2 linked regions of the Oryzias latipes genome follow. The protein of the gene in region 1 interacts with the protein of each later gene in a biochemical or structural test. Links are inferred from orthologs where the notes say so. Each region holds a gene or a part of one and is shown in the gene's direction. Other genes may lie near its edges.

Region 1 (6,117 bases):
TATTGAGCTGCCTGAAAATGAGGGTCTTACTTCACTTTCAATTCCCATTTTGTTCAATTCAGCAACAGTTTGAATGCAGATGGAACCACAATGATTAAAAGAGGTTTGGAAATGCATCATTAGTAAAAGTGGTGTTTTCATCTGGTGAATGTATTTATTTTGGATGATAGCACTTTTACGAATGTTTCCTTTAAGGTTAGGGCTCATTTGTGGGTGAGCAATTGTTGCGATTGTTTGACATTTCAGGTGGTTTGGTCCACTTCCGTCCTACGCATTATAAAAATAGATTGTACCAACTGAAGCTGTGAAAGTTTGGGGGTATTTTCCACCAAATGAACCAAGTCTGGCTAAATGTACTGGTGTGAAACAGCCCTCAGGCTAAATCCACACCAGCCAAGTGTAACATACTTTAATCAAATTCTCAGAAAATTCTGCTTGGGAAGATGTGAGCGCTCAAATTAATTCTGGTGCAGATCAAAAAAGCAAACTCAGATTCAACCAAAACATCGGGCTGGCTTTCTGGAGAACCAAGAGCAAGACACATACTAAAACAGAGCCTTGTGGGTAAACACAGCTAGATATGTGGGTGAAATAGTAGCTAAGATGACTGAGCCCAAGTTTAGGAATCAATTCAGAGCTGAAAAAAAAAATTACAAGCATTTTTCATTTCTTTCTAAATTTTATTATAGGTTTATTATTTTTAAATGTCTATACCATTTACTGTGATTTTTGTTGTTTTGCAGCTTTGAAAAAAAAAAGATAAATACTTATTTGTACTTCAAACCATTGATTTTAGTTTTTTAGTCTTTTTAAATGAAACAAATCTTCTGAAACTCTGATTCTTTATTAAATATTGGCTTCAACAATATTAAAATATTTTCATTTAGTGGGTCAGCACTCCCTTAGAGAAAGGGTGAGAGGTTTGGTAGGAGCTTGGAGTAGAGGCGCTGCTCCTCCACATTGAGAGGAGTCAGTTGAGGTGGTTCGAGCATCTGGTCTGGATGCCTCCTGGATGCCTCCCTGGGGAAGTGTTCCAGTGCCCCACTGGGCAGAAGGCCTGGGGGAGACCCAGGACACATTGGAGAGACAACGTCTCTTTGCTGGCATGAAGATGCCTCGGGATAGAGGAGCTAGAGGAAGTCGCACGGGAGAGGGAAGTCTGTAGGCATCTATGCTTAGATTGCTGCCACCGTGACCTGGTCCTGGATGAGCGGAAGAAGATGGATGGATGGACGGATGGATGCTTTGTCGTTTAGGTCAAAATAGCAAAAATCTAATGATGGAGTGTGCAATGGTGTTCCCAGTGGTCTTTTTTATCATGATTATGCCACTTTTAGCCAAAAAAACTACTTTGTTTTCTAGGACATAGATTTTACAGTAGTCCAACAGAAATTAGCGTCTGACTGTTTCTCTTATTTCCCATGATCGCTTTGTTTACACTTTCTTTGCTAGCTTACAGCCCCTCACAACCAAAACTTAACATAACCGGTTAAACAGAAATGGAGAGCAATATTGGAGCCATCCAGCCGTACAGTTTTGAGCCAGATAACAGCACAGATGAGGAAAACAAAGACGTACATAGTATATAGTATATAGTTGTCAAAATGGAGCGGCGCAGAGAGCTTGTGTCTCGCCGACTGTAGCATCTGCCTCACATCTACTATGTTTCGTTATTCATCATGATTTTAATAAAGAAATAATCAGAACCATACTTTTTTATTTTATTTAGGTCCTACATCACGAGAAAAAAATTACAAAAACCAGTTAAAAACACTAAAAGCGTGATTTACATTGGATTTGGTCTTTAATTAGACTTCTTCCATAACTGAATTCTAATCATTCAATCAGTAACATATTTGAAAGGACCAACATTTTTTTCTTCTTTACACCTGTTGGGGCAGTTTTAGAACCTTTTTTTAGACAACACTGCGACAGACTGGCGACCTGTTCATGATGTCCCCTGCCTTCGCCCACAAGTGGCTGGGGTAGGTTCCTGCAGCCCTGTGACCCCAAAAGGGACAAAATGGTTAAGAAGATGAATGAATGTAAGACAACAAAGCAAGTTGTATCTCATCATGAGTACCAAATATAGCTCAAATGGGCTGCTGTTCGGCTATTTGTTTTTTTTTGCTGTGTTTTTTTTGCTATGTTTCTGGCCTGCCTGATGTTAGATATCTGGATCAAGGGTTTTTGTGAGTTAGAAAACAAGACACCGACTCTTGAGAACTGCAGTTTTACACCTGTAATTGTATCAAATGAAAATAAATTGTTTTAGCATTAGTATCATTTCATCTTTAAATCCATTCTTTTCTATGATCTCTCTGATGATCACATCAATATGAGATGAATCTATTGGGTTTGAATGTGATTTTATTTGGCGCTTCAATCTGAGAACCACGTTTTATCCATTAAGACAATAGAATAAAGCTTAAACTATGCTTCTGCCAGCAAGTCTCTATGTAAAAAGCGCACACAGATAAGTCAACAGATAGTTTCCAGATCAATCTCTGCGACATCCTTCTCCTCCAGACAAGCCCCCCACGTGGGGGTCTGCATTATCCCCAATCCTTCTGGATGTGATTGGGCGCCTCGCGGATGAGTGGCAGGTGGATGCAGCTCAGCGTGCTCACTTTTCCTCGCTATTGGCTGTGTTAAAATGACTGCTCCTCCCGCAGACCACACACCATTAGCTTTTGGGGGGGAGGGCTTCGCGAAGGAGTCGGGAAGTTGTAGTTCTTCGCGGCGAACGCGCATCTGTGCGGCTTATTATCGACTATTATGAATTAGACTACACGTCCCGACGTCACGGTCCGGGCATCTGTAATTGCCGTGAATATGTAATTAAACTCGTACGACTGGCTGCTTCTAAATTTGGCGTCGTCGGGGCAGGCTGGTACAGTCGATGCTGCGCGAGGATGTGAGCTGGAACGGCGGAGCGACACGCGCGCAACAAACGGGACCGAGTGGAGAAGCTTACTCGAGTTGGAAGCAGATATGCCCAAAAGTTGAAGTGTTTTTTGGATCGCTTTGCGACTTTTGCGCACATAATGAGACACCGGAAATTGTGAGGACGATTACTTTGGTCTTTTTAAAATCATCATTGGTTGGGCTTTTTTTCTTCTATTTTTTTAAATATTTTGCAGAGTCAACAATCCTCCTAGGATGTTCTCAGTCTTCACCGAACCAGCTCAAAGTCATTAACCGTCAACAAACTAGCATTTTACGCACGGAGGAGGGAGATCGGAGCTGGCACATTCCCTTTGGATGAACTTTACAAAACATCTTCAATGATTCGAGATCTGAGCAAGATGTACCCCCCGGCCCGGCATCCGGTAAGTAGATGTCATCGAGGGTCAACTTGTCAAAACGGCGCAGATTTAACAGCCGCGAGCCTGATGCGTAATCAGTTTAAATCAAGTTTCCGTGCCACTGCGCCCTTGCACAGACAATTGCGCTCATTGTCAAGTGTCCGCAGCTGTGTGCGTGTGACTGTGACTGTGCGGGGGTTGACGTGTGACAAGACTGGGTAAAACCAAAAAAAAAAGAAAAAAGCTAATGACAGAGACCTTTTGTAAGCCACATTGCCATCCGTGTGAGAGTGCCGTGACCCTGAACTCTGGTGGCTCAGTTCTTCCTGCTCTTTTTCTTCACACGCTGTTGCATCTGGGTTGAGGTCCCCCACCAGCCGGGCCAGCCATTCAAGTTTACTGTAACTGAGTCCTGCGACCGGATCAAGGAGGAGTTCCAGTTCCTGCAAGCCCAGTATCACAGGTGAGAGTCTGGATGGAGAGTGGCATTCATCCTGCAAGACCGTTGAAACACTGGAAATGCTTGTAATTGCTTGTGCCATTTAAAGAAACAACACTAAATTAATTACCATCAACAAAACAAAATATAGATTTTTAAAAATAAACTGCAGCTAATGAGCAAAATTAGGTTATGTTAAGAGATCTTTTTTTGGATCAAAAAACGATTTGTAGTAAAAGTAAAAATAGACTTATTTTTTTGTTTGGAGAAACAAGAAATTAAAAAGAATAATACTTAAAAATGAATTAAAAAAAAGGTTGTGGTTTCAAATTACTTGAAAATAAATGGACTTCTTTGATGCTGCCCTGCTGTGAAGGATGACCAACACATCTAGTATGCATGATGCAATGACTAGAAATGCCACACAGAAGCAGGTTTTCCTATGACTACTTAATGAAATATTTTTTTTACTCAACTTCACAAGATGAAGATTTTATAAAAACACCCACCTCAGTCTCTCTATGTGCAGTTCACACAGTGGCCCCCCTCTTGTTTTAGGTCCATCTGTCATCAGTGACTAACCGCAGGTACACCTCATCGACCCGGGGTGCACGTCTTTCCAAGTGCAAGTGGTGTGAAATACCATTTTACCTGAAATGATGAAGTGTGAAATACGTCGCTATAGGGGTTAACCGTAAGCGCGACACCAATGCATAATAATCGCCCACTTCTAGGCACCTTGTAATTATTACCCAATCACCTACTGAGATGAACCAGTGGTCCAGGTTTCTGGTCAATCCCCAGGCAGAGCAGTTTCAGCTGAGGATAATGAGCAGCATGCTTAATGGTGCAGCCACCCACATCAAACGGCTTCATAGCAGCAAAGTCCTGACAGGACGGAGGCAGGGGTTTGGTGAAAAAAGATGGATCAGACAAACCTTAAGGTTACACCTCTGGACTAAAGCTTTGATGGAAATGCTTAGTGTTTGTTCATTTATAATTTTCATGGTCAAAAATAAAACTATAGAGGAAGTAAGAAAAACAATTTCCTGCATGTTAAATGTTTCTGGTAACTCGCCACCTTTAAGAGAGATAAGCTTTTGTGTCAAATGGATTCGCATTACGGCTGCTTTTTTGTTGATGCTGCAGTTTAAGCTTTCGCTCACAGTGAAAGAATATAGGATGAGGTTTGTGTGTTTGTTCATTGATCCATTAATTACTGCTCAGCACCTGCTGAGTAAGAGCCTGTGTCTCCAGGAAGAAGCTGCTGCCGTCTAAACAACTTTTCTCCTCTTTTGTTGTTGCACTTAAAATAAGAGGATGTGAAATCAATAAAACACAGATTTGAACTTTTAAGTAAAATATATATATATATATATATATATATATATATATATATATATATATATATATATATATATATATATATTTCCCTAATTTAGGTTGGTTGTGGAATAATGTGGTCATTAACTAATCTAAGATGTTGTTTGTGCCTTTTAGCCTGAAAATGGAATGTGAGAAGCTGGCCAGTGAGAAAACTGAGATGCAGAGACACTATGTTATGGTAAGTCTCCCTTGGATGTGTCCTTGGTGTTTTGGGCTTAAAGAAGATCAAACAGAACACGTTTGGATAACCTCACTTTGATCTGTCTCTTTCAGTACTATGAAATGTCATATGGGCTGAACATTGAGATGCACAAGCAGGTAAGAAGGCTCCTTATTAAAGTTGTTACACAAAGATTTCTGTGTCTGAGGGATGCAGGCAGAGAATAGAGGATTTTTAGGTTTTTTTTTTTTTTTAATTTGCAGATGTTGTTGGATTCGTAAATATTAACTATTGATTGTCACAGTCACAATGCTCGTGCAAGGCTTTTTACCTGAAAAGACAATTTGCAGTTACTGAAATGAGGTTGCCAATTTTGCTTTTCTTTACAAAGCGTTTTAATAGTTTTGCTCTTTACTTTAGTACAACTCTGAGTAAGTGGAACCTCCTAAATGGTTTTTGCCTGAAGAAAGCTCATTGTTTCAACCTTAACCCCTTTGAAACATAGTGGGAATTATCAAGTCTGCCACTGTTCAAGATCAAAATTGGTAAAAATTAAAAGATTATTGAAAATATTTCTAAATCTACTACATTTTTAGCTGTCTCATTAAAAACCCACTCTTTTGAGCTCGTCTGAATTTTCAAAGGTTTTAAGTATGATTTTTGAGAATTTAAGTAGGATTATGCTGTTTTTAGCCAAAATAAAATAAAGCTGTCTTGGGTTTTGTCTATGAGTGGATGCATCATGATGAGGCAAAGCAGGGAGATCTTCTATGTCACAAATAGAATCTAACGCAATTTTTTTTTGGTCTGCTCCTGATTCACAA
Region 2 (5,330 bases), on another chromosome or scaffold:
CTAAATTGTCCTTAGGTGAGTGTATGTGGCTGTATGGCCCTGCAACAAACTGGCGACCTGTCAAAGTCCCACTCCAACCATCTTTTGAGATACTTTAAAAGTGTTCCCAGTGGTATTGCAATTATGATTATGCCGTGGCCAAAAGAAAAGCATCTGTTTTTTTCTAGACATAGTTTCTGCAGAGCAGCAGAAGTTTGCCTCTGAGTTGTGGGCAGAACTGTCGCCGTGGAGCAACCCAACCCCCTTCCCCTCACCAACTCTGTTTATGTATGTGCGCTCCCTCTGGCTTAGAGCCCCTCACACCCGCGCACCAACAAGACTGGTGCAACAATAATGGCAATAAATATCTCAGCTATCCAGCCATACAGTTTTGAGCCAGATGCAAGTGGCCTGCCCATTGTATTTTGTACGCCACAACTTCAACAACAAATTAAATGTCCGGATAAAGAAATATTGAAAATTGAACAAAGAAATATTCAGAAATGCAATTTTAAGCTTAATTTTCTTTAAACATGTCCTCCATCATGAGAAAAATCCCACAAGAACATCTTAAAAAACACCAAAAACACAATTTTAATCAGAGTTGGTCTTTAAAGGTGCATCCCTCCTTTGCCATACAGTGCCTGCATTGACTTCAGAAGCCCAGGGACCTCAAAAGGATTTCAGCGTGTCCTGAATCCTTGATTCAGTGCAAAATCATGAAATTAACTTCAAGATGAGGTCAACATTTCTGAGCTGATTTTCACATCTTTAGTATATAACATGTATAACGCCATAATAAATGATTTAGACAATGGATCCTCTGAAGAGTCCTCATTCCTCTATATTTAAATAGCATATTTGATCACTTTCACCCTCCATCAATAGCCTACATCTATTACAATCATGACTGAATCATTTCTTTTTTCTTATCTGAGTGGCAATAAGAACCATCCCTCTTCCTTCTTTTCCTTTTTCCTCTCTGGTGGATTGTGTTTGGTGTCTCTCATATCTTCATAATCGCACATTGTCTATTAATCTAAATTAATTTTACACACGATGCTCCCTGACTCCTGCCTTCTACCCACATCTAGCAGATGCACGCACACGCACACGTGCTCGCTTTCAGATTACACAGATAAATGGGTCCCAGTCCCGGGCGGAAAATTGAACATTTGGATTTGCAGAGTAAGAGCGTTACGTTCTGATAGAAAAAGAGTGAAAAGAAAGAGAAAGAAAAATCAGATAATTGAAGTGCTAAATCAAGTGATGGCAAAAAAAGGGATATGCATTCATTACACTCTCCATGCCGTTAGTGAAGGAGTGCAGCTGAAGGGGACTTTGATCCCCCAGTTTGTCATTTCACTCCTTATTCCTCTTTTGGTTTTGCCTTCTTGTGTTTGGGTTGGTCTGCTGGGAGAGAGGATTAGGATGTCTGCTGCCACACCTTTCTGTCCCTCCTGGGATACCGCACTGTCACTCAGCCCGACGTCCGCTTACAGGGGCTCAGATAAGAGATCAAAGAGTGAGTGACTGTATGTTTCAGTGTGTTCAGTTGTGTCAGGAGAATTTTAGTGTTTGTGTGTGAGTCACTAAGGTGATAGCAAGTATGTGGCCTTGTTGCCCAGCAAGGAACTACAGTCTTCTCCAGAGAAAGGATCAGAGCAGGAGACAACTGGATGAGCAGCAAAGGCTTGACTCTGCTGCCTCCATTTGCCAGGAAGAGTGGTGATGGAGGATCTAAATGTAGGAAATGTCATTTGTGAAGAGAACTGAGAAAAACCCTAAGAAAATGACAATACTTACACCCGAAACAAGGGAAAATAAAAGGGGTAACAAAACAGATGACTCCATAAAGAGAAAAATCTCAACTGAAACCTGATTTGAAAGAGACTTAGGAAAACAAAACTCAGAGAATAAGAGAAGCACCAATCCTCAACGATATTGCTGTCCAGTTTCAGGAAGGTGCATCTGCACAATGTATACGAAGTAACAGAATAAGATCTACTGTAAGTCACGTGGGCCTCCATAAAATAGATTCTATGCATTACATTTTGTAAAATGCTGATGGAAAATGTATTAGTTGAAAAAATTTACCATTCTTCAAAAAAATCCCTGAAAAACTAACAGTTTTCTTATGTTCACGAGTCAGGAACCTGACAAGGTTGTTTTCATTTGAGTCACATGGTTATAGGGACATTTATTGATGCTATAATTCTTGTTTGATTGGAAAAATGGCAGTTTGAAAAGGTTCATCGTGATATTTATTTACGGGGGTTGATTTATCAGTAAATTAGTAAATCTAAATTAGAATTATTACTCCAAGCCCAGGGCTGCATGGAGGCGTAGTGGCCAGCGAATTTCTCTTCAAAGCAAGAAGCCCCTAATTCAAATACCAGCTGGGACATTTCTGTGTGAAGTTTGCATCTTCTCTCTGTGCATGTGTGTTTTTTGGAGCATACCGGCTTCCTCACACCGTCCGAAAACATGTTTTAATAATGTTAATTGAATACTCTGAATTGTTTATATGTGTGAGTTGCCCTGCAACAGACTGGGGACCTGTTAAGGTTATAACCTGCCTTCACCCAACAGTAGCAGGGTGGGCTCCAGAAGCCTGTGGCCCAGACAGGGAGTCAGCTTGTACAGAAGATGGATGGATGGATGGATGGATAGATGCTCCAAACTCAATCTGACGATGAAAACGTCCTTTGACATTCTCCCGACTGTCATGTGGTTTGTCTACAGCGACGTCTGTGGCTGCCTCGCAGGTCCCAGCAGTGACCAGCGACTCAGCGGGTTCCTCATACTCCATCAGTGGCATCCTGGGGATCAGCTCAGCAGCTGATGTTGGCAAGAGGAAAAGGGACGAAGGTGAGCAGTCATTTTTTTACTATGATGCAAAAACTGTAGCTTTTAATGATTAGAGTCCAGGCAGTTTCATTCTTTAAGGTTTCAGTATGCAGTAACTGTGAAAGTTCTAGACGAGTTCAATCATGATGGGCAAAAAATATACTTTCTGTGCTCTAAAAATGATAACATAATAACTTCCTTTTTCATTTAACTTAATAACATGCCTATATTGCCTTTGCTGAACAATACTGTACATCAGTGGTAGAGCTAGAACATTTTAAATAGGGGGGGGGGTGGAAGGGGGCAGAAGACTTTGGAGTTGTGGCAAATGAGAATGGAAAAGTGAAAGGCCAATCCAAGTGAAATGATTTAAAAATACATGCATGTATTTCAAACTGTTTTATTATTGATGAGTTATTATGAATGAGTTTTCCAGAAATAAGAATTTCCTCCTATAAGGAAACGAAGGCAAGGGTGCTGACAGCCCAGATCAGCTCGGACACACAGTACAGGGGCATATTAAATGATTTGAGGGGGCTCAGGATTTAATTAAAAAATCTAAAAAAAATTGTTTTTTGCAATGCTCAAAAAAGCATGTATTGATTTTTTTTTTTATCTTTGTCAATATTGATAATAATATTAACCCAAAGATGTGTGTGTGTGTGTGTGTGTGTGTGGGGTCGTGCTGTGTGTGTTTGTGTGTGTGTGTGGGGTGGGCTATCTCCCAGTACCTCTGCCCCTGCCTAACATGTAAAAAAAATAATTAAATTGGGAGTCTATCATGTTTTAAGTTTTTTTCTTGCCTCCTTTTGGTTTGCCTTTAAGAAGCCTTTGCAAAAATTGGACCAAAGTTTCATGATATTCTCCCAGAAAATCAAAACTGCAGGTTTTTTTTAATATGCACAAATAACTGTTTACAGGAAAATGGGCTGCAAGAGACCAGCAAGTATAAAAATTGAAACTGTTTGATTTGATAAAAGACATGAAAAACATCCACATAGTTGCATGTAGAAAAGCTATGAATGTCAGTGTCAGAGATGTGTGTTTGTACATTTGCAATATTCGAACATCTTCATTGAAAACCCACATTTGTTTACTAACAGTGCTTCACAAGTGAGTTACTTGAGAACTTAGTTTATTCATGCACTATTGATCATTTATGCTGTCATACTGGATCAATGTTGCAAGCAGAGAGAGCAGTCAGGATTTGTTTGTCTGTGCGTTGGCAATCCTCACATGCTTTTTATGCTTTTGTGTGTCTGTCTGTGCACTCATACATGCAGGGTGGCGTGTGTTTGTGTGTGTGTATAAGCAGCAGTGTCAGTGGCATTAAAAAGCCATCACACAGACGGTCTCCTGCCGTAAATGAGACAGCACCAGATGTTGGCGTGAGAAGGGGGGGGGTGACAGAAAGCCACAAGGGGCTATTTCTCTCTCTCGCTCATTTGGTTTCAGTCTTTCCATCCCTCAAATAAACAAACACACATGCACACACAAACGTACGCACTATACAAGTTCCTTGTCCCACTGCTGATGAATTTTCAAATCACTCTAGACAGGTAAGTCCCTGATAGGCCAAGAAATGCTTGATTCAAACGACCAGCTCATTACCGAAACACTCAGATCTGAAACATAGAGACACACTCATATACTGTAAAGTTATCTAGATAAGAACCATTGCCTGGGCTCCTGCCTACAACTTTCCTTTGTTCTGTTGTGGCAAATGAGCTCGGATTATTACATATCAGCTACTGTGCTTTGCAGTTTGGTTTAAGATGTTAAGTTTTGTTTCTGAAATCCCCAACTAATGTGTGTGTGAGTCCTAAACTAGCAAGATTAGTAAGTATATAGAATATAATACAACTTGTTTGCTTTCTAAGTGAACTTTTTTTTTTACAAAAGTCTATAAAAAAAATGTCTTCAAACTTAATTTATAAGAAGCTCAAATTGTGTCACAGTTGTCTATCAACTATTTCTAGTTTGATAGACAACAAAAGTGATCTTCCTATGGTCACTGCCCTGACTAAAGAAGAAAATAACACACAATAGCACTTTTCAGTTGGTGAAACATATCAGACAAGTGAAAATGTTCTTAAAGACATGGATTTAAGTAAGTTTGACATGAGGCAAATTGTGATGGACGGATTTGTGGGGTTAGAATATCTCCAAAGCTGCAGCTTTTGTGGATGTTGTCCGTCAACAATTGTCTGTCAAAAGTGGTCAAAGAGAGGTCAAAGAGTGAATGTGGACATTTATTTTGACCACAAACACAAGTATACCTGGTAAATGAAAACATGTTACCTAAATAAATATAAAAAAATGTTACAATAATAATAATTAAAAAAAGAAATAAACCAATGTTGCCTGGTAGCTGTTGGCTATTTGAGTTAAATGCAAAGCAGAAGCAGTTCAAAAATGGGTTGAAAACCACTGCAAAAGCTTCAAATCATTCAAATCTCAGTCTAAGCGAACATCTGTGGGATCTATTATTCATGAACGCT

What was found. The genes of interacting proteins can lie anywhere in the genome.
Region 2: the proteins of transducin-like enhancer protein 4 (region 1) and pax5 form a complex in vitro, tested with the Homo sapiens proteins (2 studies listed by BioGRID). The link is inferred for Oryzias latipes from reciprocal best matches to the Homo sapiens genes TLE4 and PAX5.

Annotation. Positions count from the first base shown.
Region 1 is NC_019867.2:5,256,299-5,262,415, reverse strand, and holds the start of transducin-like enhancer protein 4, read left to right. Parts: upstream 1-2,575; 5' UTR 2,576-3,064; exon of another isoform or gene 3,065-3,143; 5' UTR 3,144-3,287; coding exon 3,288-3,332; intron 3,333-3,673; coding exon 3,674-3,771; intron 3,772-5,247; coding exon 5,248-5,311; intron 5,312-5,406; coding exon 5,407-5,451; intron 5,452-6,117. UniProt on the Homo sapiens protein: Transcriptional corepressor that binds to a number of transcription factors. Inhibits the transcriptional activation mediated by PAX5, and by CTNNB1 and TCF family members in Wnt signaling.
Region 2 is NC_019859.2:12,746,241-12,751,570, reverse strand, and holds part of pax5 (paired box protein Pax-5), read left to right. Parts: intron 1-2,724; coding exon 2,725-2,850; intron 2,851-5,330. UniProt on the Homo sapiens protein: Transcription factor that plays an essential role in commitment of lymphoid progenitors to the B-lymphocyte lineage. Fulfills a dual role by repressing B-lineage inappropriate genes and simultaneously activating B-lineage-specific genes.